3 linked regions of the Sus scrofa genome follow. The protein of the gene in region 1 interacts with the protein of each later gene in a biochemical or structural test. Links are inferred from orthologs where the notes say so. Each region holds a gene or a part of one and is shown on either strand. Other genes may lie near its edges.

Evidence for each region.
Region 2: the proteins of NUP214 (region 1) and NXF1 form a complex in vitro, tested with the Homo sapiens proteins (4 studies listed by BioGRID and IntAct). The link is inferred for Sus scrofa from reciprocal best matches to the Homo sapiens genes NUP214 and NXF1.
Region 3: the proteins of NUP214 (region 1) and DDX19B are reported together in a solved structure, tested with the Homo sapiens proteins (2 studies listed by IntAct, with this or other methods). The link is inferred for Sus scrofa from reciprocal best matches to the Homo sapiens genes NUP214 and DDX19B.

Annotation. Positions count from the first base shown.
Region 1 is NC_010443.5:271,205,515-271,214,596, forward strand, and holds the end of NUP214 (nuclear pore complex protein Nup214), read left to right. Parts: intron 1-750; coding exon 751-922; intron 923-2,734; coding exon 2,735-2,874; exon of another isoform or gene 2,875-3,979; coding exon 3,980-4,004; intron 4,005-4,504; coding exon 4,505-4,538; 3' UTR 4,539-4,778; downstream 4,779-9,082. UniProt on the Homo sapiens protein: Part of the nuclear pore complex. Has a critical role in nucleocytoplasmic transport.
Region 2 is NC_010444.4:8,964,793-8,975,191, forward strand, and holds the start of NXF1 (nuclear RNA export factor 1), read left to right. Parts: upstream 1-5,275; coding exon 5,276-5,303; intron 5,304-8,328; coding exon 8,329-8,512; intron 8,513-8,736; coding exon 8,737-8,896; intron 8,897-9,612; coding exon 9,613-9,696; intron 9,697-9,804; coding exon 9,805-9,909; intron 9,910-10,032; coding exon 10,033-10,113; intron 10,114-10,249; coding exon 10,250-10,319; intron 10,320-10,399. Other genes in the region: STX5 (syntaxin-5), read left to right, coding at 2,980-3,139.
Region 3 is NC_010448.4:13,323,256-13,333,658, forward strand, and holds the start of DDX19B (ATP-dependent RNA helicase DDX19B), read left to right. Parts: upstream 1-4,985; 5' UTR 4,986-5,124; coding exon 5,125-5,181; exon of another isoform or gene 5,182-5,620; intron 5,621-10,403. UniProt on the Homo sapiens protein: ATP-dependent RNA helicase involved in mRNA export from the nucleus.

The sequences.
Region 1 (9,082 bases):
TCCTCCAGGCACCGTGTGCCTCTTGATTGAGGAGTCGTCCCTTACTGCGCAGAGAGAGCGTTTAAAAAAATTCTTCCGTATGGGAGAGAGACTCCAGGGAGAGATGCGAGAGCCAGGCGGCTCTAAATTAGTCAAAAGCGCCTGGCCGGGCGCCAGGGCCATGCCTCTCCACTAACGCAGCTCCCAGATTCTCCCTGAAGCGGGGTCTCAGCCTCCAGTTTCAGAGTCTGTGTCTCCCTGGAGCAGGCGCCCAGCCTGCACGGTGCTAAGTAATGAGATGCGGCCTCTGACAGCTGGGTGGGGATTGGAGTCTTGAGGGTTTTCACTGAGGAGCCCAGAACATGCAGAGGGGCTGGGCAGGGGTCTGACATGCACCAAGGTGGTTCTTGGTGGCATTCAGATTCTCCAGGGAGACGTGGCGCTGACGTGTCCAGCTTGCCTCTGGGAGGGACCGGGGGTCTCCCAGACGTCTAGGGTCTGCTAGATTCTCAGAATTCCAGGGAGCTCTCCTAAGTGGACCCCAGACCCCTCTGCTGGCTGTGGAGGGTGGGTGGTCATGGTTTGGCATCCGGGGTGGTTTTATTATTTTGCTGGAGAAGGGGTATTGTCCTTTGCTATACTTTTTTGTATTTGACTTTCTAATGTTTTTTTCCCTTTTTTCCCTTCCTCTTTTGGTTTCTCACTGCTCACTGTCTTCTCTTCCTGTCTTCTTTCTTTCTCCCTATTTCTGTTTGCCTCTGTTTTGCTCAGGTGGCTTCGGTGCTGCTCCAGTGTTTGGCAGCCCTCCTACTTTTGGGGGATCCCCTGGGTTTGGAGGGGTGCCAGCATTCGGTTCAGCCCCAGCCTTTACAAGCCCTCTGGGCTCGACGGGAGGCAAAGTGTTCGGAGAGGGTACAGCGGCCGCCAGCGCGGGAGGATTCGGGTAAGCCCCCCGGGAGAGGCCTGGGGAAGCCCTCAAGCTCAGGTCAGCAAAGCACCAGGGCCCGGTGCTCCTGTTTTGGAAAGTTCTGTTTTCTCTACTTTTGACTGAGCTGAAAGCCCCTCCGTCCAAATCAGCCAACCAGGCGCTCTAGGATTCCTGTTCTTCCTAGCGGCAGGCCCGTTTCTGCCAAGCCAGGCTCTGTCGAGTACACGATCCCATCAGCTGTGTGGCCGTCCCTCGGTACAGAGGGTGCTGGTTGGTGGATGCCTGGTCTCCGGGTGGAGCCGGAGGATTGGTTACAGGAAGAAAATCCGTCTCACCGTGGCTGGCTCCAGCCCGGACTGACCCTTGTGTGATGACTTCTGATAGGAAATTCCGAATGAATCGTTTTCACCAGATTCTTTCCTCTCGGGGTTGTTGTGCAGAAGACCCTCTGTCCTTGAGCCAACCAGGCCTTGTGTCCCCTGCGCCACTGCAGCCGCGCAGGGCAGGGATTGGGCCCGCAGCCCCTGGGCCAGCTTCCACAGCAGGCGGCACCGAGACCCCGCACGCGTTTCGCAGTCTCAGGACTGCTCAGCCTTTGAAGCTGCTCAGACTGCCTGTGCATGGCCTCACTTGAAAATGCCATTCTAGAGACTTGCTGTTAAGGGCCCTAGCAATTGTCTGCTTACCAAAACCCCAAGGAGAACATAGCCCACAGCCCCACTAAAACATACGTGCTGATGGCCTCAAAGAGGCCCGTTCAGAGGAGGTAGTAATGTCTGAAATCCACGTCAGAGGGGCCTCCGGTGGCCTCCGCACTGGCCCAGGACGTGTAAAGCTGAAGCGTTGGGGAGACCTGGCAGGGTGCTTGGGTTGCGTGTTGGTGAGGCGATAGCACCTTTGTCTTGAAAATAAACTTAAGTGGTCCTGGAGCTCCCCAGTGGCTCGCCGGGTTAAGGATCCTGTGTAGTCACTGCTGTGGAACTTCTCTGTGCCACGGGCACAGCCAAAAAAAAACCTTAGGTGGTCCTTATTCATGGCCATTCCCCCCGTGGAAGATGCTGGCTCAGAAGCGCTGGAGAGGCTCGAGGAACGCGAGCAAGTCCTACTTTTTGGATTTTGCATGGAGACTGATGGGTCTTTTGAGTTGCTCCCAGGAAGTCAGGAAACCCCAAGACTTAAGGAACGCTTTCAAGGGAGGGTTGGGATCCCTTTAAGCCAGTATTCTTGGCAGTTCTGACGGACACTCGTCTCGCCAGTGACCGCCCAGCCCGTGATGCTGCAGCTGACTGGGAATCTCGAGGGTTTGTTTGTTTATTTGAAACCAGCTGTTTTCTTCACTGGTAAGAAAGGATCATGCTCTGCCTTGACCAGGGAGGCTACTCTCCCATGTACATCCTGACTGGCTGGCTCCCTGGCGCCAGCTCTGGTCGGAATCCCCAAAAGAGCCGTCACCTTTCTTCAGGTCCCGGGCTGTGACGCCGTCGCTGACCCGGCTGGCATCTGAGGAGTCCCCACGGTTGGATGAGAGAGGCCCGAGGCAGGAGTGGGATTAGAGCAGGACCAGTGACCTGGAATTTCCAGACAGTCAGATGGAGACTGAAACACTGGACCAGGGGTCCTCAGACTGTATTTCCCCCAAAGCGGAGGGGAAGGTTTGCGCCGGGCTCTAGCCTGTTTTCCCTGAGAGGCTGCCAGATTAAGCCGAGCCCGTCACCTCGAATCGTGTGTGTCGTGCCTCTCAGGACTCAGGAGGACGGACTGAGGCCATTGGGCAGCGGGGGGCCCCGTGGCCTCGCTGACACGGTCTGCTCTCTCACCCCAACCCAGGTTTGGAAGCGGCGGCAACACCACGTCCTTCGGCACCCTGGCGAGTCAGAACGCTCCAACTTTTGGCTCCCTGTCCCAACAGTCTTCTGGGTTTGGGACCCAGAGCGGGGGGTTCTCCGGCTTTGGATCAGGCGGAGGAGGTAGGCGGCCAGACAGCTTCCCGCACAGGGGCCCTCCTGGTTTCCTCGGTAAATGCCCGCCTGGCCCCCAACCCTTCCCAAAGAAGGGGGGCCTTTCCTGGCCGTTCAGTCCAGTATGTGAAAGGCTGAAGGTGCTTGGAAGACAGCGTGTTCTTTTAAGGTTTTGATTAGACTTGGAACATGCCGTTTCTTATCGAATAATGAGATGGCTCACTTGATGTTTCTCTCAGGATTTGAGGATTCCCAAAAAGTAACCATCCTACTAGATCTTGATGTAAAAATCTAAGCCAGCAGACTCAAGAAATAAGATACAGAAAAATAAAAACAACACATACTTTACCAAACGTCATTCGTCTGTTTGACACTCCACTGCACACAGTAGGATATATACGGTCTGCTGTTTTCCTTACAATACATGTGAGACACAGAAGTTATAGGCCTCGTTACTGTTTTACAAACAAAGATCCAGAAACTCCAGGGCGACAGACAGTGAGCAGCAGAGCGAGGTCTAGAACCCAAGTGTCTTGGGACTTCCCGCCGTGGCACAGCGGAAACGAATCCGACTGGTGCCCGTGAGCACTTGGGTTCCATCCCTGGCCTCGCTCAGTGGGTTGAGGATCCGGCGTTGCCGTGAGCTGTGGTGTGGGTCGCAGACGCGGCTCGCATCCCGTGTTGCTGTGGCTGTGGTTAGGCCAGCAGCTGTAGCTCCGATTCGACCCCCAGCCTGGGAACTTCTACGTGCCTCAGGTGCGGCCCTCAAAAGACAAAAGACGAAAACTAGAACCCGAGTGTCTTGCTGCTCTGGCCTCAGACGAGGAGGAGGCGGGTGGATGGGAAAGTAGGGGGAGGAGCAACCACGCTTTCTTAACGCGGGGGACCTGTGTGGTGGGTGCGGCAGGGAGGGGGCCGTGCCGAAGGCCCTCTGCCCACGCCGGTCGGGGAGGAGGGAGGACCCTGCAATACCCAGAAGGCCACGGCCCTTCCCGCGCGGCCGGAGGAGCAGGGCTTTCCCTGGGGAAACGCACGGGGAAGAACGTGGCCTGGAGACCACCTTTGTCTTTCAAACGTACGTGTGGCTTAACGGCCCCCTCTCCCTCTTTTTCAGGTTTCAGCTTTGGATCGTCTAGCTCGTAAGTATCTTTCCCAGTTTTGCGTCATTTAAATAAGGATGCAGGAGTGTTGATATGTGAAAATGCTGGGTTTTGCTCTGCGTGTGTAGCTTGCGGCCATTTTTCCTGCTGCAAAATCTTGTCCTGGAAGCTTGGCGGGTCGCAGCAGCTCTTGGGTTCTGCGGACGTGCAGAACTCGGCGGGCAGAGGGCGGGAGGTGCTGACGACAGGGTGCTGCTCGCAGGGCCGCGCCCCGGAGGGAGAGAGCGTGCCTTCTGAGGGGCAGGGCCTGGGAGGCAGGACTTGAGATGCTTTTCCTGACGTCCCTGTGCGGGTCTCCGAAGCCTCACGCTGCCTCCCGGGCTCCAAGCCCATTACCGGATTTGCTCTCCGGCTCTCACCCTGTGCTTCTGTGTGGAGCTGCGGGACATTAAAAACTCAGAGCCCGCGGGCAGCCGCGTGAGTCTGGAAGCCGCTGCTCTGAGCAGGCGCTGATCAGCCTCCCCGGCACTTCCTTGCAGGTCCGTCCAGGGCTTCGGTGGCTGGAGGAGCTGAGCGCCTGTCGGTGCTCCCTTCCTTCTGTTCCCGCGACCAGCCAGCTGCGTCTCAGCGCCTCATCGCTGAGAAGCCCCGGAGCAGTCCTTTGAAGTGGGCATCCTCGCTGAAATACACAGCCAGAAAGAAGCAGCAGACACCGAACTCCGGAGCTGCTGGCCTGCTCGTTTGGTTCTGTGTTTGTGTTGGTTATGCGCTGCCCCGCCCCCGCTATTAAACCGTTTCGTCTGTTTCTGCACAGAACGCGTGGGCCCGCTCTCAGGCCGCAGCCGAGGAGAGGCCTCTCCTTGTTCCTGTGGCTCTGAGAAACCTGCACGGCCTTCCGCCCGCCAGCCGTGTGTGTCCTCCCAGAGGGCCAGCGGGATCCAGTCCCGCGCAGGACGTGGACAGGCAGGGGCTTGTCCCAGACGCCCTCCCCTGGTCTCCCCGGGAAGAGGCCGGTGCTGGCCAGCCGCCTTCTCGAGGCCAGAGCTTCGTCTCTTCTTCCGGGGTCTTTGCTCTTGGGTATCGGGCCCCTCAAGGTGCCAGCTTCACGACTGGGTGGAGGCAAAGAGACTCACTTCGGCCGGCGTCGGCTGAGTTTCCGAAGGGGTGTTCGCGCCTCTCGGGCCAGGTGTCTGTGAGGCAGGTGTGGAAGACGGGGTGTGGTCTGGTGACAGGTGTGCTGTCCTTGGAGCACGTCTGTCTGTCTGCTCCATTTGGCCCTCGATGCCATGTGTCTGCTGGTGAGGTCTTCTGCTCTGAGGAGCGCTGGGCAGTTGATTGCGAAGACAGCTTTCATGTCCAGTAGGTGACAGTGACGATGGGGGCCCCTCCCGGCTCCTTGTCCATGAACCACAGGGCATGTAACCCTTGGGTGGAGCCGGGAGTTGAGGAGACGCTGCCGCCGCCCAGCGTCACTGCAGGAGTGTCCCCGAGGACGGCCTGGAGGTGGCGACTTCAGTCTTAGTGTCGCCTGCTCGTGGTGCGGCGATGCCCACGTCTGGGCGTGTTTTAGTTCTTAGGCCTGCGATGTCCTGGACAGTTGCTGACCAACCAGGACTGCCTCACACCAAGCGTAGGCCTAAAACCTTGTTATCTTCTGGGTCCAGAATACAACGACGCCGTGGCCTGAGTCATCCGCAGGAGAGGCTTGGAAAGGGGCAGCTGTTCAGATTTTTCATGCTGGCAAGTCATGTTTTAGGGGCTGTGATAAAGGTGTTCCCCGTGGTTTAGTTTGTCACATCACAGCAGCCAGTGCGGCCTTGATGGTTCCGCTGGCCGTCGAGAGGGTACACCTCGGCCGGGACCCCGGGCCACCACCGGCTCTGCTGGGCCTGCTCTGCCGGTGCCTCCCACTCCCTGGGGGTCCTGAGACCCCCAAGGCTCACACCTGCACGTCCTGATTCAGTAGGACTGAGGCTGGGCCTGGGCACCCTAGGGCACAGAATTCAGTGGTTTCTCTGGCTCAGCAGAGGAGGGCGTCTCAAGAGTGCAGCTCACCGGGTTTCAGGAACCCCAAACCTGAATGAGGTCCCTGGGTGACCGAGCCTGTTTTCTGTGCTGTTGGTCAGATTCTGTCCAGATCTTCCATTAAGGCATCCGTGGCCTTCAAGGAGCTTGGACTCTGATAACTTAACAGGTCCCCTTTTCCGTCCTTGCAGCATTGAGAGCCTGTGTCCACTTCATGAGGCCCCCTTGGCCCTGGAGCCAGCCCCAGACGTCACCCAGCCAGGCGCAGGGCTCGTTCCGCCCGCGTGTGCTCTCCCTGGTTTGCACCGGGGCCAGCTTGAGACAGAGACACTCAGGTTTTGAGGGGAAGGCTCCTGGCGGAGGCCTTGCTTTAGGGGAGCTCTGACTGCCAGCAAGAGCTGACCTGCCTCGGCATGTCCTGCTGACCAGCGCCCAGACAAGGGCCACCTCCTGTCCTGTGTTCCCCCCAGAGGCTCTTTTTTATAAATAGAAGCTGGTTTGGCCTAAACCCTTGACCTCAAATTCTCTGCCTTAATCCTGCATTGAGGTGGCATGTGGCATCTCTCTGTAAGGCCATATCAGCTGTGCTTGGCCAGATAACCCCCACATCGCTGTCAGGCCGCGGCACGGGGAATGTGCTGCTGGCCCAGGAGCCCCTCTGAGCTCCTTTTTTGGGGTCGGTTCACTGGTAGGTGGCAGGGGTCATCTCTGAGCACAGCCAGCACACACCCCCTGAAACCCAAGCTCCCAGGATATCGGGCTTCCCGCCTGTCTGGGGAAGACGGCGGGCACCAGCCTTGCCCAAATAGGGGCAGACGGAGAAGCACCGAGAGCTGGGGTGTGGGGATCGGTCCCGGTAAAGGGGACCCCAGGTGCAGTGGGGCAGTCACCACTGGCTCAGTGTGTGTTTCCACCTATGTAACTGCGGACGGGCAGGAAGGAAACGGGGCAGCCCTTTGAGCTGGGTCGTGTCGCTGGGCTTTGCCACGTGTCGGTGCTCATCATGGTGCTTCAGAGGGCAGTGCAGTGGCAGAGGCCACGAATCGGGTTTCTCAGGGGCAGGAAAAGCCCAGCGAACAAAACGGGCTGGTGAACAAGTCCCCTCGTGTGTTGTGAAGCCGTCAGTACCCGAGCTGGTGGCCCCTCATCCCCACATGCATCCTGCGGCGGCCTTCAGTTTTGCTTTCTGTTTCTGGCAACTTCCAGAGACGTTTCCGGCTCAGGTCTGTGGCAGGACAGAGGGGGTGTGGACCTTGCAGGCTGACCCTGGCCCTAAACCTCACCAGCTCGGGGGACCCGCCTCCGAGTGTCACAAGGGCTTCTCCCTGGGTGGTAAAGTGCAGGGCGGTCGGGAGGCGTTTATGACATGCTCCCCACAGAGCACCTGGCACAAGTAGGCTCTCCCTCAGGGTGGCATTCGCCCTGCAGACCCTGCCCTACGTGCAGGGCAAACCATCCTAAGTGGATGCCCACTTCAGCCTCCTGGCTTGCGGTGGGGGGGCCTCTTCCCCCCGGCTCTCGGGCCCTAAGTGTAGCAAACACGGGGCCACGCTGGATGAAGAGGCCGCCCCTCCCTTAACGAAGCTCCAACGCACGAGCGCCGCGTCCTCATTCGAGATTCAAGTCAAATTCTGTCAGCAGAGCTGAGTTGGTTCCTGGAATCTGAGTTTTCAACGGGCTTCACAGGTGGCTCCCACGCAGATGCTCCATGGTCCGCGTATAGAGAATTCTTGAACGGCAACACTCATAAATGTTCTCTTCCAGGGGAGCCTCCGAAAGAGGCCCTCGCTCCCGTGCACCTGTTTGTTTTGCCGTTAGTCCAGGGAAAGGGATCTTTCTGAAACTGTTGGTGAGAGCGAGTTTAAGTTTCAGCTGCATTTGGGGCACCTGCTCAGAAGGGAAACGGGAAAGCACAGGTGGGCTGTCACCTCCTTCTTGCTCGGACAGCTTCTGAAGCCGCCTCCGTGAGCCCCCGCCTCCCCGGCCACATCCTGTCTCCTGACAGGGCTCACTCCTCCAGACTCTGGTCGCTAGACCGTCCTGTAGCCAAAGCAGTGCGCTTGCTTGGCTCTGGCTTCCTTTCCTTTTCTTTCCAGTTTCATCACCTCACTTTCTCACGGAGAGGGCACCTGACTGGCGCTTCCAGATCTTGGCTGGCCCGCTCAGGGTGGGTGTCCCTGCCAGCCCCAGGCTGCCCAGGGTCAGTCTCTTCTTCCTCTTCGTCCTCCAATTCTCCCTGACTTGTCTCTTCTTCAAATGAGGAGAGACAATTGGACTAAGGTCATTTTAGCCCCCAAACCTCCGCTGTCCTCAGAATGTTTCCTACAGGAAATTTTTGCTTTTTAGGGCTGTACCCGAGGCATATGGAGACTCCCAGGCTAGGAGTCGAATCGGAGCTGTAGTAGCTGCCGGCCTACACCAGAGCCACAGCAACACAGTATCCGAGCCGCATCTGTGACCTACACCACAGCTCACGGCAACGCTGGATGCTTAGCCCACTGAGCGAGGCCAGGAATTGAACCTGCATCCGCATGGACACTGGTCAGATTTGTTAACTGCTGAGCCACAGGGGGAACTCCTCCAATGGGAGGTTTTATGTTCAGCCAAGACAAAGAGGGTTCCATGGTCAGATGAGTGGGGGGAAAGAATAAAGAAAATAAACGGAACCAAACTTCAGGTCTTTTTTATTCAGGGACTCTGGAGCCTTTAATGTGCAAACTTGCTTGGCTTCGTAAATCAATGTGATGAGAGAGCCGTTTCCCAAATCTTTACCAAGGACCATTTCTGCTGGAGCGCCTCCTTGAACCTCTCCCCGGAACTGCTCCATCTTCGGTGCCGCTGCGCAGAGGCACAGCTTCCTTCCTGCAGGTCGTGCCTCCCACACACGCCCCTCTCGTGTTCAGCGGTGGTCGTGAGAGTTTGTCGAATGAGTGCTTTGGGCCAGGTACTGTCTCTCCCACATTTCCACGTTGAACTCACATCTTCCAGATGAGAACGAGGCCAAGAGTAAGCAGTTTGAGTCTCCTGCCCCCTGTTAGGCCCGGGTCGCCCCAGAACAGCGCCGAGCCCCTCGCACACCTGTCCTGTCTACC
Region 2 (10,399 bases), on another chromosome or scaffold:
TCAGGTTCGATCCCTGGCCTGGGAACTTTTGCATGTAGTGGGCTCGGCCCTAAAAAGACAAAAAATAAAATAAAATTACTATAGGAGTTCCCATCGTAGCTCAGTGGTTAACGAACTAGTATCCATGAGGATGCCAGTTTGATCCCTGGCCTCGTGCAGTGGGTTAAGGATCCAGCGTTGGCTGTGAGCTGTGGTGTAGGTCAAAGATTCGGCTAGGATCCCAAGTTGCTGTTGTTGTGGCTGTGGCATAGGCCAGCAGCTGCAGCTCCAATTTGACCCTAGCCTGAGAAACTCCATATGCCACGGGTGCAGCCCTAAAAAGCAAAAATAAAATAAAACAATGAAATTACTATAGTAAATAGTAATTTTAAAAATTACTAATATCATTCTTTTTTAACTAATTTATTTTACTATGGTTGATTTGCACCATCATTATTCTTTACTACAGTCAGATTTCTGGCCACTAGGAGCTACTTCAAGGCAGCTTCTGTATCCACTGAACATGATCCAGTTACTCTCAGTAATTATGACGTTTTGGGGAAACTGAAGCCAAAAGAACTAAAATCCAAGATCTCCTAGGCACGGTCAGATGGTCAAATAGTCCTTCTAGTTCTTGAGTTCTCTATCTTCTTCCATCAAACTCCTTTTTTGTCATTCCCACCTTATACTTACCTTCTCGTCCTCTGGCTGTCCATGCCTCTGATAGCAGTTTCATCATCCATCCTTTGTGTTCAGCAAGACTCCAGCTTCTTATTGCTTAATTACTTCCCTCTATGGTTTTCTTTCTGTAAAACGTTGCGAACTGTTCTCCTCTCTGTTTTCCTCAGTCTTTTCCCTCCCAAGTCATTATTTTCTCCCCATTCCTTTCTGACTTTTAACTCCCCTACTGATTCCTCTGAATATCCCACTGATGCCTAATTTTATCACCCCTAGATTTCCCTTGTATTAGTTTTCATTCACGGTCTCCCATTTGAAATGTTTTAGGAGTTCCCTTGGAACTGCAACCACTTGTGTCACTGCTGTGGTTCAGGTTCAGTCCCTGGCCTGGGAATTTTCACATGCTTTAGGCATGGCCAAAAAAATAAAATAAAATAAAAATCTTCCATATGCCAGATTGATTTGATTGCTTTTCCATTTTTGTTAAGCAGAGCCATTATGATTGTCAGTGTGAATGAGCTTTATTGGCTATGGGATGACAAATGCATCCACACTGAGAAATGTAATTATAGCCCAAAGCTGGGAAACCTGATACGTTTGTTAGCTTCTCTGACATAAACAGGGAATCATACAATTCATGCTCCAGTGTTTGGCCAGAGATTACCTGATAGTCTCGTGACCACCTTCCCAGGACCTTGGACTTGCAGTCACCAGCCCAGCCTTTCCTCTCACTTGCCTACTTGATTCCCAGCCTTCACCAACTTTTCTGTCCTCACAGCGCACGATGGTTTCTGCTCCCTGCGACTCCCTTTGCAAAGACCAGGGTTCATATTTCGTTTTCAGGATTGCACATGCACGTTAGCTGGGAAATGTTTTATTTTCCTCAGCAGCCTCTCAAGAGATTGCCATTCATTCTTCTGAGGACTTCTCTATATCCTGAGAGACATGTTCTAATATCGGGCTTTTCTTTTCTTTTCCTTTCTTTTTTGGCCATGCCTGTGGCACGCAGAAGTTCCCGTGCTAGGAATCGAACTCAAGCCACAGCAGTTACAATGCCAAGTTCTTAACCGGTAGACTACCAGGGAACTCCCTTGGGCTTTTCTTTTTTTCTTTTTATGGCTGCACCTGCAGCATATGGAAGTTCCTGGGCTAGGGGTTGAATTGAAGCTACAGCTGCTGGCTTACACCACAGCCACAGTAATGCCAGATCTGAGCCACATCTGAGACCTACACGGGATCCTTAGCCCACTGACAAGGCCAGGGATCGAATCTGCCTCCTCATAGACACTATGTTGAGTTAACTTGCTAAGCCACAGCAGGAACTCCCCTGGGGCTTTTCTTTATCTCCTTTCTGTCCGTATCATCAAGTTTTTCTTCCTTTCTCACTCAGAACCAGGGTTTCCTGACCATAATGGCCTGTGACCTTTCCCCCGTTATTACAAAGGCAATACTGCTTATCAGAGAAAAATCCATAAATACTGATGTGCAAAAAATTATAATGACTAACATTTTGGGTCCTTTTAGTATGAGTTAGGCACTCTACTCATTTAAGACTGACAGCAGCTAGAGAGGTGTGGTTTGTGTTATCTGAATTTTCTCCTTTGCAGTTGAGGAAAATGAGACTTGGGGTTAAGTGACTGGCTTAGGGTCATATGCTACAGAGCTGATTTTCAAACCAGAGCCAAGATTTGTTTATATTACCCTTCCAGAGCATTTTCTGGAAGGGTAATATAGATATATTTTTTTGTTTTGTTTTGGTCTTTTGTCTTTTTAGGGCTGCATCCACGGCATATGGAGATTCCCAGGCTAGGGGTCAAATAGGAGCTGTCGGTGCCGGCTTACACCACAGCCACAGCAACACAGGATCCTAGCCACGTCTGCGACTTATACCACAGCTCACGACAACAAAAGATCCTTAACTCACTCACTGAGCGAGGCCAGGGATCAAACTGGCATCCTCATGGATGTTAGTCGGGTTCATTAACCGCTGAGCCACAATGGGAACTCCCCTCTTTTCTTTTTTAAACGGCTGCACCCACAGCATATGGAAGTTCCTGGGCCAGGGGTTGAATTCAAGCCTCAGCTGTGGCAATGCCGGATCCTCTAACCTAACCCACTGCGTTGGGCTGGGGATCAGACCCGTGTTTTTTGCAGTGACCCGAGCCGATGCAGTCGGATTCTTAACCTACTGTGTGCCACAATGGGAGCTCCCAGAGCTCTCCCATCTACAAATACATGTACACACACACAAAAATACATTTCAACAGCATTCCTTTTAATCAAGTGTCACTCTTTTTCCCCTCCTCTCGGCCCTCTCTCCAGGATCGACGAGAACGTGCTAGGAGCCCAGCTGGACGTTGAGGCCGCCCACTCGGAGATCCTCAAGTACTTCCAGTCGGTCACGTCCAACCGGTGGCTTATGGTCAAAATCTTCCTCATCCTCATTGTCTTCTTCATCATCTTCGTGGTCTTCCTTGCCTGAACCCTCTCCAACGCTGAGGCATTCCGTGGGGGTTTGGAACCCTCCTGGGAGGGCAGGTGGCCAGAGCTGCCACTGAGCCTGTGCAGGGTGCTTGGGAGAAAGGCCCTGTTTCCCTGGAACTGCTAAGAACGGCCACTGCCCCTGATCTCCCACTCCTTGCCTCTGGCCACCCTGTCCTCCCCTCACCATCCTCAGGCCCATGAAACACACGGTTCTGGATTTGGACTCTGCTGTGAAGTGGCTGGAAGGGAGCAGAGGCCAACTGGAGGGCTCTTCGGGGAGGTTGTCTCCACTGGAGATTTTTATAAACCCTCCCCAGCCTTTCTCAACTCTGGCAGCAAGGGGAGATGATGCCCTTCCCCACCTTCCTGAGAGTGAGGAGAGGAAGTGAAACTTCCCCAGGGACCAACTTTCCCATCTGGGTTAAAATTTACCTCTTCCTCTCTTCACCATGTGAGGCAAGGGGCCCTGAGCCCTTTGGCTGCCTACACAACCCCAACTCTGGCTGCAGATGACTCTCAATCTGCCAAATGTGCTGCGGCCCGTTTCCTCCCAATTACAACAAGACTGTCAGCCTCACTAGCCATGTCGTCATTTCGGGGTGGGAGCGTCGAAGGGCCTTGGCAGCAAGTGGAGTGAGCCCACTGCCCAGCATCATAACTAAAAGGGTTGGGCTGATGGCCCTGACGGGCCAGGCTCACTCACTCTGTGCACACAGCTGCCTCCCGCAGGGGGTTTCCAGGTGTAGCAGCACTTAGTTAGCATGGAAACTTCCCTTCAGAGGCCCGTAACAGGATCCCAGCCTGGGTCCCTGATTGACGGCAACTTCCAGGACCATCTCCAGAAGTATTTGGACCTGTCTCATCTGCATGCTCCAACCATTTGGCCCCAAACTTACTTGCGCTGGATGAAGTAGGAGCCCTGCCTGCTGCTAGGAGTGAAGGTGACATGAAGAATCCGTTCCCAGCTCCAGCTGAGGCTCTTGGTCCCCTTGAAGCCCCTCACCACATCCAAGCCAGTCAGAAGAATGAAGGAGTGACCTGCCTGGAACACCCACCCTCCAGGGAGGTTAATATGCTTTCTAGTCCTGACCAGGACCCAGAACCACATCATCCTGCATCACTGGAGTTCCCCCACTTCACACACCCGAAAGGAAGCTCAAGCTGTAGAGACAACAGTCACTATACACTGTGCTGGCCCCAGTACTTTGAGGGGTCCAGGAGAGCCCAGGTCTTTCCTAGCCATGGCATTTTAATATTTCCTCTCCCTTTGGCCTGTGTTCAGCGTGTGGTCAGGCTGGCCTCCTCACTGCCCAGTTGACACAAGACGTGGGTTTAGCATAGCACATCCCGGTGGGTTGGTGGGTGGGTTGGTTTGTGAAGACAGCCAAAGCCTGGCAAATGCCGTTTTTCTCTCCTTTGATTGCAACTCTCTCGGAGGGAATGCATAGATCAGTAGTTATTTCACAAATATATGTTGGGTTCCTGCTGCGTGCGTGCTAAGTATGGTATCCAGTCAGGTGCCGGAGAGAAAAAGCCGTGAATTAATCAAGCCCCTGCTCTCTAGGAGTTTACCGTTAGTTTTCTATTTCATTTTATAGGCGAGGAGACCGAGGCCTAGATCTGCAAGTGTCAAAGGGCTGAGCTGAGACTTGCCCTGGCTGGATCCTTCTAGGTGTCTATGTGCGGTCACTCCCGCTCCTAAGGGCCTGGTCTCCCACTCCTCGGAAGCCCTTCCTGTAGCCCCTCTTCCCTGTTCCTCTCGGAATCCTGGGCTGCAGTAGCCACCTCTCCGCTTCACCGCTGACCCTGGAGGTGCTCCAGCAGAGAGCTACTAGCGGCGGGGTGGATGAAAGCAGGGGGCCGGCGAACCCGCGGTAACTCGGCTTCCCAAGCTCAGGTCCTGGGCGGGGCGTGCAACGCCAAGTCCCGCCCCCGGCTAGTCCGCTCGTCGAATGCGCACGCGCGTCTCCCAGTGGTTCCGCCCATCACCGTGGGACGTCGGCTGCGCGCGACGCGCTGGCCGCATAAATGCGGCGGCATCCGGCGTAGGAGCACTTCAGCCGGGAGAGCCTGGGCGTTCGGACGTTTGCCGGTGTCGCGGGCCGCGACAGAGCCCGCCCCTGCTCGCTGCGCCATGGCGGACGAAGGGAAGTCATACAACGGTCAGTGCTGGCCCTTGGGTCGGGGAGCCGGTCGATCTTGGGCCCTGCTGGGCTGCGCCAGCCTAGGCCGCAGCGCCGGGGCGTGAGGCCGCGAGGGGCCCGGCGTCCACGGGGAACGGCGGTGGCGCGGCGCGGGCCCGGGGCGAGGCAGCCCGGGGGCCTGGGTGAGCTTGAGGGTTGGGTGCCGGGGTTGTTGACGCTGGGATCCTCCCTTTGCGGGCCCCTGCGACTCGGAGAGGTGGCTCAGTGGTGGGGTGATGAGATTCCTTTGAACTTTGTGGGTGGTTGATGCCTGTCAGTTCAATTTGGCGGCCAAACTGTTTAATGTGAGTCAGTGCCCTTCTCCTGGGCTGATGTGCCCTATTTTCTACCGCGCGTCCAGGCGATTTTGCCCCCTCCCCCACCTAACGCGTCTGTCGCTTAGGCTTAATATTTTAGATCTGCACATCAACTCGATGTTCTGGTCCAAACACTACACTGAGTTTTAGTCCAGAGCGGTGGTTAGGAGCCGAGGTTTCAATCCCGAGTTGGCTATGCCAAGCTTGAGTAACTTACACCCTCAGACTTCGTTTTCCATCTCCTTAATGAGGATAGAAACAGTACCAGCCTTCTGAGTTTGTCTCCGTGTGTGTGTGTGTTAAAACGAGATCATTCATGTCAGGTGCCTGGAGCATAGTGCCTGACACTGGAGAAGAGTGCTCAGTGAATGTTAGCAACGACTTGTGTGCATTTATTACTTTTTTCCTAGGGTAACTTCTTGAGAAACTCATATTTTTAGTTTTTTAAGGAACCTCCATACTCTTTCCCGTAGTGGCTGCACCAGTTTTCATTCCTACCAACAGCGTAGGAGGGTTGCCTTTTCTCCACATCCTCTCCAGCATTTGTTTTTGTGGACTTTTTAATGTTGGCCATTCTGATTGGTGTGAAGTGCTACCTTATTGTGGCTTTGATTTGCATTTCTCTAATAATTAGTGATGTTGAGCATCTTTTCATGTGCCTGTAGGCCATCTGTATCGTGGGTCTTTTTTTTTTTTTCTTTCTTTCTTTTTTTTGCTTTTTAGGGCCCCAGCCGAGGCATATGAAAGTTCCCACGCTAGGGGTCCAATCAGAGATGTAACTGCTGGCCTACACCACAGCCACAGCAACGCCGGATCCTTAACCCACCGAACTAGGCCAGGGGCTGAATCCGCATCCTCATGGATCCTAGTTGGGTCCGTTAACCACTGAGCCACGCAGGGAACTCCTTCATGGGTCTTTTTTAAGAAGCGCTTCCTACACACCAGGGTTCAGAGGATCATATTCTTGGAGAGGACCCTTGGTGAAGCATCCTAACTGCCACTGGAACCTGAATTCAGGAGTTGTCTCCTTAGTTAAAAGCCTTTTCTGACCAAGAAAACAAAGAGCTCACTCCCAAACGTTCAGAGTGGCAGTTTGAGAATAAGACTTTTAAAAGAAGCCCTTAAATTGGTCCTATCTGTGTGTGGTGTTTGTATTGTATGGGCAAAAGGAGAGCTGTTTCCCCGAAAGCTAGTGTAATCATGAGGACGGATTTGCCACCTGTGAGAGGGGTCACCTCGGGGTTAAGTAGATTTGGGTGGGCCCACAGAAAGCGGATGTCGGGTGACTTTTGAGGGGTTCGAATTGTGTCCAGTTACTCTGGGTCACTCACACTTCACATTCACTTGAGAGTGGCAGTTGGAGAGCAAGATTTTTTTTTTTTTAAATCTTTTTAAATTGAGGAAGGTTGATTTACAATGTAATGTTGGTTTCAGGTGTACAGCATAGTCATTCCTGTATTTATAGATTACACTCCATTAAAAGTTATTGGAAAATAATCGTTGTCATTCCCTGTGCCGTACAACAGATCCTTGTGGCTTATCTCTCTTATACTTAGTAGTTTGTATCTCTTAATCCCATATCTTGCCTTATCTTGCCCCTCCCCCTCATAACCACTAGTTTGTTGCCTGTATCTGTGAGTCTGTTTCTGTTTTGCTGTATACATTTTATTTTTTTAAATTCCACCTGCAGGTAATGTCACATAGTATTTGTCCTTTTCCCTCTGGCTTATTTCACTAAACGTAATACCCTGCAAGTTCATTCATGTTGCAACTATGGCAAGATTTCATTCTTTTTGATGGCTGAATAGTATTCCGTTATGTGTGTGTGTATGCACCACATCTTTATCCATTAGTCTCTTGGTGAACACTAGGATCGCTTCCATAGCTTGGCTACTGTAAATAGTGCTACCGTGAACATGAATCTTTTTGCATTATATATTTCTTTCTAGATGTATATCTAGGGGTGAAATTGCTGGTGGTCATATGGTAGTTCTATTTTTAGTCTTTTGAGAGGAGAACAAGACTTTAGAAGATGCTTGTGGAGTTCCCTGGTGGTTCAGCAGGTCGAGGATCTGATGCTGTCACTGCTGCAGCATGGGTTTGAGCCCTGCCCTGGGAACTTCTGTATGCCTTGTGGGTGCAGCCAAAAAAAAAAAAAAAAAGGTCTTAAATTGGTCATATTTGTAACTGACATTTGTGCTCTATAGGCAAGAGTCCTGTTTACCAGAGCTGATGTAATCATTGAGATTGGTTTTTCCCCTTGTGATTGGTTTTCCTTTGTGATTGGTTTCCCAAGATATAATCACTGACCACATTTCCAGTGGAGTTAAGTAGACTTGGGCACTTGAGAGCAGGCAGTTTTCAGGTGACCTGACCGAGTGTGAGTTGTGTCCAGTTACTGCTCGGGACACTCGCACTTCCACATTCTGCTTCTCCTTTGTAGTTCCAGTTTCTGCTTCATTTTTCTAAAGCCTTATACACAGTTTTCCAGGGATGTTTCCCTTTTGCTGCCATCCCACGGAGAAGGTTCTTTCCCTGGCCAGGCAGAGGAGTTTGCCAGGAGGTGGGCTCTGTCGTGATTGTGTGTCTCCTGTCTGGTAGTGCAGGGTGCTGGATACTGGGATCGCCCAGTAGGGGAGCTGAACCAGGGATGTATTTTCTAATTTGTGTCCCGTTTCCAACCCCAGAGCACGATGATCGAGTTAGTTTCCCTCAAAGAAGGAAGAAAGGCCGAGGCCCTTTCCGGTGGAAGTGTGGCGAGGGGAACCGGCGCTCTGCAAGGGGAGGTTCTAGCATTCGGTCTTCCCGCCTTGAGGAAGATGACAGAGATGTGGCAGTGAGCGACGCCCAGGATGTTCCCCGACTACGATAGTGAGTAACCAGTTTGTCCGGTTTGAGTTCAGCGACCCGTTTGTTTCCGTGGCCTTCTCACCACAGTGCGTGTGTCATTTCTCTTCGTTGCTGGACGAGAGAGACATGCCAGAACCAGCCTCCTGGTTGAACAGCCGTAGGCCTGGTCCGGACACCAGGGCACGAAGGTCCCCGAGAAGACAGGCCTCACTTTGTGGATGTTTGATTCCCTCCTTCCCCCACAGCAACCCCTATGCTCCGCGACCCAACCGTCGGGGCGATGGTTGGCACGAGCGGTCTCGAATTCACGTCACGGTGCCTCTGCGGAGAGACAGAGTTCCTCCAGAGAGGGGAGGAGCCGGCACCAGCCAGGATGGGACCTCAAAGAACTGGTTTAAGATTACAGTGAGTGTCTTGGCAAGGGCGCAGAGCCGGGGTGCTGGGGGGCCGGGCCCAGGGTGAGGGGTTTCCTTCGCACATCACAAGGTTGGGCTTCTCAGCGGCTCACTCCACAGTCAGGTGGCCATTCTTTCTCCTTAGAATCCCTGTCTTAAAAAACCTATGAGCAGGTTCAGAAAAGGAGAAGGAGACAAGTGGGATTGGGGGGGGCATCTAAAGGGAAATGTGGCAACTGTGGTTGGGAGCTGGACTGACTCCTCCGGATTTCTCCATCGCCCTCAAGCCCAGCGTGGCGGCTGGGGGCCCTGGGGTTCTCTGAGCCAGGCAGGTTATCAATGACACCTTGCAACTTTTAGAATCAAGCAATTTGAGGAGTTCCCTGGTGGTGCAAGGTTAAGGATCCAGGGTTACTGCTGTGGCTTGGGTCACAGCTGTGGCACGGGTTCAAAACCTGGCCCAGGAATTTTTCAGGCCACAATTAGGTCCCCCCCCCCAAAAAAAAGAAACAGTTTGATTCTTTTGAGGAAAAATTCTGCCCAGTATAAATAGACAAAGAGGAGGTTAAGGAATCTGTGTTTGGCTTGAATAGAAAAGCTTTCACTGGCCATTTCTTTCGAAAATGTTTTAGAGCTGGCCGGTGATATGAAGAGAGCACGAGGGCAGGCCTGCTGGTCAGCGATGGTTGTACGCTGTTCCCTTTTCTCTCTCTCTCTCTCCTCCAGATTCCTTATGGCAGGAAATACGACAAGTCATGGCTCCTGGGCATGATTCAGAGCAAGTGCAGTGTCCCTTTCACTCCCATTGAGGTAAACTCCGGCGTGAGTGGCTGGCCGGGCCCCAGGGGAGGTGGAGGTACCAGCTGGGCCAGGGGCTCTGGGCTCCAGGCCTGACACTCTTGTTTCCTCTTCCGGCAGTTTCACTATGAAAACACACGGGCCCAGTTTTTTGTCGAGGACGCCAGTACCGCCTCGGCATTGAAGGCTGTCAACTATAAGATTTTGGATCGGGAGAACCGCAGGGTGTGTGCAAAGGGCCTGGCGTGCTCGGGGGCGGGGCTTGGTGCTCAGGGCTCCGACTGAGTCTCGGTCCCGGGGCTCGGGCCTCCCCGAGTTCACCCTGCCCCGGGTCTTCCTTGTCCGCAGATATCTATCATCATCAACTCCTCTCCGCCGCCCCACACTGTGCAGAACGAGCTGAAGCCGGAGCAAGTCGAGCAGCTCAAGGTGAGGCCGGTGGGCTGAATGGGTGTGTCCTTCCAGTTGTCACCCCCCACACACACCCACCTACCCACCCACACACACACACACACAGCCCCAGAGACTGCTGAACTGCTGCTGAACGCTTTGTCTTCCTCTGTAGCTGATCATGAGCAAACGATACGACGGCTCCCAGCAAGCCCTTGACCTCAAGGGCCTCCGTACAGACCCAGGTACGGTCCACAGCAGGAATGCTTAGACGGTTGGAGACAGAGGGGGCTCAGTCCGGCAGAGAAAGTTGGAGAATGGTGCG
Region 3 (10,403 bases), on another chromosome or scaffold:
ACCTCCATATACCTCGGGCGTGGCCCTAAAAAGATAAAAAAAAAAAAAAAAGAAATGGTGGGGTAGGGCGTAACTTCCTGCTGGTTGAGAATCTGCTGGTTGAGAATCCAACTCCTAGTGGCTCCAGTCACTGCAGAGGTGCGAGTTTGATCCCCAGCCTGACACAGTGGGTTAAAGGATCGAATGTTACCATAGTTGTGGCTCTGATTAGTTCCTGGTCTGGAAACTTCCATATGCCATGAGTGTGGCCATAAGAAAATATTTTTAATAGAAGGAAAACTATCTTTTCCTTTAGGGCCGAAGGTGCAGCTACTTTGCGAACAAAGCTCGTGGCAACCCTGGATCCTTTTTTTTTTTTTTTTTTTTTTTGGCTTTTTAGGGCCACATCTGAGGCATATGGAGGTTCCCAGTCTAGGGGTCAAATTGGAGCTACAGCTGCCAGCCTACACCACAGCCACAGCAACAGCAGATCCGAGCTGCATCTGCAACCTAGACCACAGCTCACAGCACCACCCAAACCTTAACTCACTGAGCAAGGCCAAGGATTGAACCCACATCCTCATGGATACTAGTTGGGTTCATTTCACTGAGCCACAATGGGAAGTCATAGAAGGAAAACTATCCTTTTTTTTTTTTTTTAGGGTTGCACCTGTGGAAGTTCCCAGGTTACGGGGTCGAACTGGAGCTATAGCTGCCGGCCTATGCCACAGCCACAGCAACGCAGGGTCCAAGCCATGTCTGCGACCTACACCACAGCTCACAGCAATGCTAGATCCTTAACCTACGAGCAAGGCCAGGGATGTAACCGGAAACCTCATGGTTACTAGTCAGATTCGTTACTGCTGTGCCACAACGGGAGCTCCAGGAAAACTATCTCTTTTTTTACTTTTTTTTTTTTTTAGGGCCACACCTGCAGCATGTGGAGATTTCCAGGCTAGGTGTCAAATAGGAGCTGTAGCTGCCGGCCTACACCACAGCCACAGCAACTCCAGGATCCAAGCCACATCTGTGACCTACAACACAGCTCATGGCAACGCCCATCCTTAACCCACTGAGAGGGGTGGAACCTGCGTCCTCATGGATGCTAGTCAGATTTGTTAACCGATTAGCCATGACAGGAACTCCCAGGAAAACTATATTAATGCAACATGCTAGTTGTCTGTTTTAGGAAACATCTAATTTATTCTGGGCTAAACAAATAGCCTGCAGGTAAGAGTGAGTGCTACATACAGAGCTTGCTCTGCAGTAGAATATTGATTGACCGTCAACTCCAGGCAAGATGAAGGTAACAGGGGCTCAAGATAGTGCTACTAATATACTTAGTTTTGGAAGGAAGTACTCTTAGGTTCTACAGCACCTAAGCAAACTTTTTTTCCCCCACAGCCACATCTGCAGTGGAAGTTCCTAGGCTAGGGGTTGAATCAGAGCTGCAGCTATGCTATAGCCACTGCAACATGGGATCCAAGCCACATTTTCAACCTACATCACAACTTCAAGCAATGCTTGGATCTTTAACCAAGGATCAAACTTGCATCCTCACAGATACTATGTTGGATTCTTAACCCACTGAGCCACAATAGGAACTCCCTAAGCTACTTTTATCATTTATAAAATGGACTTTGAATGTTCATTTATTTACCATCAAGTCAAATGGAATTGGCTGAAGAGTTGTTTTTCATACCATGAAGTGCTGTAGGAATCACCTAAGGATCTTAACATGCAGATCCCGATTTAGTAGATCTGGAGCAAAGTTCGAGACTTTGCACATTTCTAATAAGCCCCCTAGTGTTATCTATGCTACTGCTAGGGGATCACACTTGGAGTACCAGTGGTCTAAACTAGAAAATGAGCTTCTTCACATATTTGTTCAGAGGCAAACATTAAAAAGTTTGATCGGGGGAGTGGGGAGTGTATGTGCATTCCTAATCTATTTATTCACCATATAAGTCTGTTATATGTTAGACTGTAGAGATCAAAATTAAGGAGAACAGACACTGCCCTTGCGTTTATGCAGTTCCCAGTTTAAGGAGGGAGCCTGACATTTGGCCAAAAATAACTTTTAAAAAGTTAAAGTGGAAAAAAAAGGAAAAAGTCTCGAATACCCAAAGGCGACCCCTGGTGGAGCCAAGACCCAGGCCTTTTGCTCCTAGGTACCTCGGCGCGCCAGGGCCAGGCTTGCCATCCTCCCCTCTGATTGGCTGGCGGGACCGGCTTCCGGGCCTCAGCCAATGAGGCGGGGGCTGTGAGCGGCCGTTGGCCGAAGGAACCGCCATGCTGAAGGACGATGGCCGGGGCTGCTGGCCGTGTCCGAGAACAAGCTCTAGGGTGCTTTCCGCTCGCCCTGCCTGTGGGCGATGTGAGTATCTCTGAGGGTAGGAAGGAGACTCTTTTTTCCTCATTAAGGCATTCTCCTCGCCCCCACCCCAGGGGAGGGAACAGGAATAACCATAATAGCTTATATTTAATCGAGCCTTCACCGTTGGCCAGGCACTGGACCGAAGGCCTTAATCTTGTGATCTCACTGAGTCCTGGGACCGGAGGTGGGTGCCTACCGTGATTTCAGAGGAGACAGGGGCAGCCTAAAGTCGCGTGAGTGAAAATGCTGGAGGTGGAATTCTGATCCAGGTGCTCTTATTCCCCCGATTCCTCGCTCCACTCCCCTCTTTGGAAATCCGATTCCTTCTTAGTAGGAGTCTTAAATGGTGCAGGTGTTGGGAGTGGACATAGGAAAGTCTAGAACCCTGGGGCTTATTTTTAAGTTTTTCTTTGGTCGTACCCATGGCCAGGGGAAGGATCCCAGGCCAGGGACCGAACCAGCACTACAGGTAACCAGGGTCACAGCAGTGACACAGCTGGACCCTTAATCCACAGAGCCACCAGGAAACTCCTTGAGATTTTTTTTTTTAATAGAAAAAGTTGTACATACTAAAAGCATTTATAGGAAAGAAAAGCACTAAAATTCAAGAAAGCTTCTGTCTCGGGATGGCATGGAAGGAGCTTCATTTGAATCTTGTTTTATTTCAGTCCTGAGGTGGGAATCTAGATGTTTGTTATAGTATTCCCTTTTTTTGTTTGTCTGAAGTACAATTTTAAAAGGAAAACATGCACATGGAAAATTTATTCAAAGGATGAAGTGTGCACAATGAAAGGAAGTCTCTAGAGCCCCTCACTAGAAGCAGCCAGTGATACCAGTTTTGTGTGTATCTTATACACTGTCTTAGTATGTACAAGCATATATGTGAGTTTGTTATATTTGCACAAATGGATCCTACTGTTTACAGTCCTATATCTTTGATGATTATTTTTAATCTCATTAAATTTAAAAGTTCCTTAACCTCTTCTAGCCCTGTGATCAGTATAATTTGGCAGAACTTTCCAGGATTCCTTCTGACATGAGTTGTAGGTCATGGCCTGTTAGACTGTATGTTTGCCTTTTTCGTGCACACCCTCACCTGTAGGGTCCAAAGAAATCTTCCCCAAGTTAACCCTGTAAAGAGTGCAGGAGAGAAAGAGTCATGGCAAGAAGAGGATTCTGGGAAGTGCTCTACCCTTTCCCAAACATTTTAACTTAGAGTCTACAGGTAAAATTCCAAATAAAGCCCACTATTACTTGAAGTTAATCTGTTATAGTGGATTATTGGCAAAACAAGAGAGGTGGGGATTCATTTCTCACTCAGGTTGTAGGGAAATACCCAGTTTCTTTTTTCTTTTTTTTTTTCTGTTTTTTGTCTTTTGTTGTTGTTGTTGCTATTTCTTGGGCCGCTCCCGCGGCATATGGAGGTTCCCAGGCTAGGGGTTGAATCGGAGCTGTAGCCACCGGCCTACGCCAGAGCCACAGCAACGCAGGATCCGAGCCGCGTCTGCAGCCTACACCACAGCTCACGGCAACGCCGGATCCTTAACCCACTGAGCAAGGGCAGGGACCGAACCCGCAACCTCATGGTTCCTAGTCGGATTTGTTAACCACTGCGCCACGACGGGAACTCCCCAGTTTCATTCTAGTGAAGTAACAAGGAAAGAGAAGCTTGTTTGATCCCAGTTAAGGGAAAGTGTCACACTTAATCCTTATTTTACTTCTTCTAGAAGCCCAGTATTTTTAGAAATTTTATTTATTTATTGGCCACACCTGCAAAGCTCCCAGGCCAGGGATCGAACCCTTGCCGCTGCAGTTACCAGAGCCACAGCAGTGACAGTGCTGGATTCTTAACCCACTGAGCCACCAAGAAACTCCATCCCCCCCGCCTTTTCTTTTTAAAAATGATCTGAATCACAGAACCTTTACATGAGAGAGCTGGGATTCTAGCCTAGGCAAGGCTAAATCTAAAAGTCACACCAGATTGGCGAGTTCCCTGAAGTGAACTCATTTGCTCATTAAACTGCTCTGTGCAGCCCTTTTCATCCAGCCCTTACCAATTTATTCTTATCTGGTTCTTGTCATTGGTCGAGAAACTGTGTTCAGTTCCACACACACACAGTTCGGTTACTCTGTATCTCTGATCTTCTACTTGGAATACATTTCCCTAGCACCCTTGCTGAGCATTTTTTTTAAGATTAAATTCCTGTAAATGTATTGCCATACAGTCTGTGGGACAAATTTTTAACCAGTGTTTGAGAGGGCTGATTCTCGACACTCTAGGCAACACCTGCACATTTAAATTTACCAACCTGGAAAAATGAATAAAATAAAAATCCGCCTTTTTCAGGTTCATTTTGCTCACTATCGTAATGGATTTGTGTATTGGTATATTCCGTTTATTTATATTCTGACATCTTTGTCACTGTGCTGGGCAAGAATGTGGTTTTGTTCTTCGGTTGGAGAGCCCATTGGCAGGAGCTTCGGCACTTAAAGATAACTGTCCCAGTCTGCAGTTCTGCGTGTTGAATAAGAAACTCTGAGCAGTTCAAGGGGTGGGGGTCCGAAAGCGGCAAGAGCGACAGTCCATGGGGTTAGGGGCTGTCAGGCCGGCGCGGACTCCGACGTCACTGCGGCGCGCCGCTTCCGGTCCCCAGCGCCGGAGCGAATGACTTCCCCCTCCGTGGGGCCAGGGTTGCCCAGGGTTGCCCAGGATTGCGGATCGCCCGGGCAAGGTCGCCAGCACCTGCCTCCCACCGGCGCAAGGGACTATGGCCACCGACTCATGGGCCCTAGCGGTGGACCAGCAGGAAGCGGCGGCTGAGTCGGTGAGTAGGCTTCATCTATAAAAAGATCAGGGGGCCAGTTTTGACCGCAGATCAGATCCCTGGGAAAAGACACTGCCAGGTTGGTCTGGCCCGGGATGGGGTGCGTGAGCGGATGGAGCCTGGACCCTGAGCTGGCTTAGTTTATCCACCCGTCGCCTCTCCTGTCGGTTACGTAGGCTCAGGTGAGCATTTCCATCCGTGAAGATCCCAGCCGCCTGCTTGTCCTGAAGTCAGGCTTGCACTTACCACCCTGAATTGTAGTAATCACCTTTGTAGGTGTTTTTTTTCCACCTGCCGATTTTGAGTTGTTTGGGCTCAGGGACCGTGACTTTTTCATATTAGTGTGCTTCCTCAGCTGCTCAGTAAGGATGAATGATCGATTCCGTAGGCCTGGCAGTCAGTTAAATCCTCTCCTGGTCCGCTTAACTTCGTTCTGGATCTGACACACAGTAAGCAAGATATGCATTAAACGTTAGAATTAATTTTTCCTGCCTTAACTCTCCTGAATTCTGATACTGCTTTGAATGCACTTTGTCGGTACTTATGTCTGTTAACTTCTCAAGAACAAGGACTTGGTCTTATTTTTTTATAACTGATAAAAATGTTTCATATGTACGTAAAAAGTCAAATAGGTTTTTTTTTTGCCTTGAGGTTCCCAGCCTAGGGAACTAATGGGAGCTACAGATGCTGGCCTGCGCCACAGCCACACCAGATCCTAGCCACATGTGCAACTTACACCACAGCTCACAGCAACTGCCAGATCCTTACACCACTGAGCAAGGCCAGGGATCTAACCCACAACCTCATGGTTCGTAGTCGGATTCTTTTTCGCTGCGCCACGACAGGAACTCCAAGAGTCAAATAGTTTTAAAACTGGTTCCCACCAGTTTTTTCCTCCACAGAGTAAACTATTTTTCTTGAAATTGATTTACAGCATTGACCTGCTTGTTCCCTGAATAACATGCTTGCTTTTGCTACTTCTTGAATTTTCTGTTTTAAGTGTTTATTGATTTTGACACTTTCCTCAATCCTTTCCCTGCCACTAAAGCACACTTTCCGGTTCCTAATCTTTCTATTATTTGGGGTTTTAATTAGATCAGTCATCTGTGTTTATATTATTAGTAAGTCATGAATATTTTTATTTGCTATACAACTTTTCCTTGAAATTTAGAAGTGCCTTGTGTTTTTGCTTTGTGCACTTTGTGCTCATCACCAGTTCAACCCCAGGCTCTTTGCTGTCTATGTTTATTTCTGAATATTCACACACATCAAATATTCTATTAGTTCCATTTCTCCCAGGTCTTTTAGCCTCCTTCAAATTGTACTAGTTGCTCTGACTTGTTTTGGGCTCAAGGGAACAGGGCAGATTTCCCTTTGTCCTCATTCTGGGGGCTTCCTCCTCTTCGCTTGTATTGGATCCCCTCCTTTTTGCATCCCCTCTCTTCATCTTCCTTGATTTGGTGGAGCCATTCATCAGCTTTCTGAAGGTGTCTGGGAAGTAAAATATTTAAGATGCTGCCTTTCCAATATTAGCTTATTTTTCCTATCATCTAGTATGGCTGGGTGTAGAACTGTAAGTTGGGAGTTATTTTCCTGTGATATTGCCTTCTATATTTCTGTATTTGTTGTTGAGATGTGTGAGACCATTCTGATTCCTGATGTGACCTTTTTCCCTTTCTAAGCTTGAAGAATCTTCTGTTTGTCTCCAGTAGTCAAAAAATTCATGATGGTGTGTCCTGATATAGGTCTGTTTTCATTCATTTTATGAGGCACTGGTGGGAACTTCAGTCTGGAAAACTCTTGTCTTTGAGTTATGGGAAATTTTCTAGGAAGTTTTCTTTTTTCTTTCTTTCTTTTTTTTTTTTTTTGTATAATGATCATAACAATCTAATTTCACAGGATTTCCATCCCACAGCCCAGGCACATCCCCCCACCCTCCAAACTGTCTCCTCCGGAGACCATAAGTTTTTCAATGTCTGTGAGTCAGCATCTATTCTGCAAAGAAGTTCCGTCTGTCCTTTTTTCAGATTCCACATGTCAGTGAAAGCATTTGATGTTGGTGTCTCATTGTATGGCTGACTTCACTTAGCATGATAGTTTCTAGGTCCATCCATGTTGCAAAAAATGCTGGTATTTCGTTCTTTTTAATGGTTGAGTAATATTCCATTGTGTATATGTACCACATCTTCTGGATCCACTCCTCTGTTGATGGACATTTAGGTTGTTCCGATGTCTTGGCTATTGTAAATAGTGCTGCAGTGAACATTGGAGTACATGTGTCTTTGCGAGTCGTGATTTTCTCTGGATAGATGCCCAGGAGTGGGATTGCTGGATCAAATGGTAGTTCTATTTTTAGTTTTCTGAGGAATCTCCATCCTGCTTTCCACAGTGGTTGCACCAATTTACAATCCCACCAACAGTGTACTAGGGTTCCTTTTTCTCCACACCCTCTCCAGCACTTATTGTTTGTAGACTTTTGGATGATGGCCATTCTGGCTGGTGTAAGGTACCTCATCGTGGTTTTGATTTGTATTTCTCTAATAATGAGTGACGCTGAACATCTTTTCATGTGTTTCTCGGCCATCTGTATGTCTTCTTTGGAGAATTGTCTGTTTAGATCTTCTGCCCACTTTTGGATGGGGTTGTTTGTTTTTTTGGTATTAAGCTGCAGAAGGTATTTATAAATTTTGGAGATTAATCCCTTGTCAGTCGATTCACTTGCAAAGATTTTCTCCCATTCTGTGGGTTGTCTTTTTGTGTTGTTTAAGGTTTCCTTTGCTGTGCAGAAACTTTGAAGTTTGAGTAGGTCCCATTTGTTTATTTTTCTTTTTATTGTCAATACTCTGATAGGTGGATCTGAGAAGAAGTTGCTGTCGTTTATGTCAGAGAGTGTTTGGCCTATGTTTTCCTCTAGGAGTTTGATAGTGTCTGGTCTTACATCTAGGTCTTTAATCCATTTTGAGTTTATTTTTGTGTATGGTGTTAGGGAGTGTTCTAATTTCATTCTTTTCCATGTGGCTGTCCAGTTTTCCCAGCACCACTTATTGAACAAGCTGTCCTTTCTCCATTGTATAGTCTTGCCTCCTTTGTCATAGATTAGTTGGCTGTAAGTGCATGGGTTTAATTCTGGGCTTTCTATCCTGTTCCACTGATCTGTATTTCTGTCTTTGTGCCAGTACCATGCAGTTTGGTAATTTGATAGGGATTGCACTGAATCTGTAGATTGCCTTGGGTAGTATAGTCATTTTGATAATATTAACTCTTCCAATCCATGAGCATGGTATATCTTTCCATCTATTTGTGTCATCTTTGATTTCTTTCATCAGTGGCTTGTAGTTTTCAGAGTACAGGTCTTTTGTTTCTTTAGGTAGGTTTACTCCTAGGTATTTTATTCTTTTGGATGCGATGGTAAACGGGATTGCTTCCCTAATTTCCTTTTCTGCTTTTTCATTGTTAGTATATAGAAACGCTATCGATTTCTGTGTATTGATTTTGTATCCTGCAACTTTGCCAAATTCGTGGATAAGCTCTAACAGTTTTCTGGTACAGTCTTTAGGATTCTCTAGGTATAGTAGCATGTCATTTGCAAATAGGGATAGTTTTACTTCTTCCTTTCCAATCTGGATTCATTTCTTTTACTTCTCTGATTGCTGTGGCTAGGACTTCCAGAACTATGTTGAAGAGTAGTGGCGAGAGCAGACATCCTTGTCTTGTTCCTGATCTCAGCGGGAATTGTTTCAGCTTTTCACCATTGAGAATGATGTTCGCTGTGGGTTTGTCGTATATGGCCTTTATCATGTTGAGGTAGGTTCCCGTTATGCCCACTTTCTGAAGGGTTTTTATCAGAATTGGGTGTTGGGTTTTGTCAAAGGCTTTTTCCGCGTCTATCGAGAGGATCATATGGTTTTCATTCTTCAGTTTGTTAATGTGGTGTATCACACTGATGGATTTGAGGATACTGAAGAACCCTTGTATTTATGGGATAAATCCCGCTTGATCATGATGTACAATCCTTTTAATGTATTGTTGGATGTGGTTTGCTAGTATTTTGTTGAGGATTTTTGCATCAATGTTCATCAGTTATATTGGCCTGTAGTTTTCTTTTTTGTGGAGTCTTTGTCTGGTTTTGGTACCAGGGTGACGGTGGCCTCATAGAATGAGTTTGGGAGTATCCCTTCCTTGAAATTTTTTGAAATAGTTTCAGGAGGAGAGGTGTTAGCTCTTCTCTAAATGTTTGATAGAATTTGCCTGTGAAGCCATCCGGTCCTGGACTTTTGTTTGTTGGAAGTGGTTTTTTTTTTTTTTTTTGTCTTTTTGCTATTTCTTTGGGCCGCTCCCGCGGCATATGGAGGTTCCCAGGCTAGGGGTCGGATCGGAGCTGTAGCTGCCAGCCTACGCCAGAGCCGCAGCAATGCAGGATCCCAGCCGCGTCTGCAACTACACCACAGCTCACGGCAACGCCGGATCCTTAACCCACTGAGCAAGGGCAGGGATCGAACCTGCAACCTCATGGTTCCTAGTCAGATTCGTTAACCACTGCGCCACGACGGGAACTCCTGTTGGAAGTTTTTTAATACCAGTTTCAATTTCAGTTCTTGTGATGAGTGTATTCATCTTTTCTATTTCATCTTGGTTTAGTCTTGGAAGATTGTACTTTTCTAAGAATTTGTCCATTTCTTCTAGGTTTTCCATTTTATTGGCATATAGTTGCATATAGTAGTCTCTTATGATCCTTTGTATTTCTATGGTGTCCATTGTTACTTATTCTTTTTCATTTCTAATTTTATTGATTTGAGTCCTCTCTTCTTTTTTGCTTGATAAGTCTGGCTAGGGGTTTATCAATTTTGTTGATCTTTTCAAAGAACCAGCTTTTCGTTTCATTGATCTTTTCTATGGTTTTCTTTGTTTCTATTTCACTGATTTCTGCTCTGATCTTTTTGATTTCTTTCCTTCTAACTTTAGGTTAGAAAGTTTTCATTGTTGATTTCTTCCCTTTAGGTTTTTCTTCATTCCTGCCTTCTAGACTCACATTAGTCGAATGTTGGTTCTCTTGGTCTGCCTTTCAATTTTTTTAAGTCAAGCTTATTGAGATGCAGTTTAAATAAAGTAAAATTCACCACTGTTAGTGTTACAGTTCTGTGAATTTTGACAGAGGGATACAGTTGTGTAGCTACCACCACAATCAAGATACAGAACATTTCCACCACTCTGAAAAGTTCCCT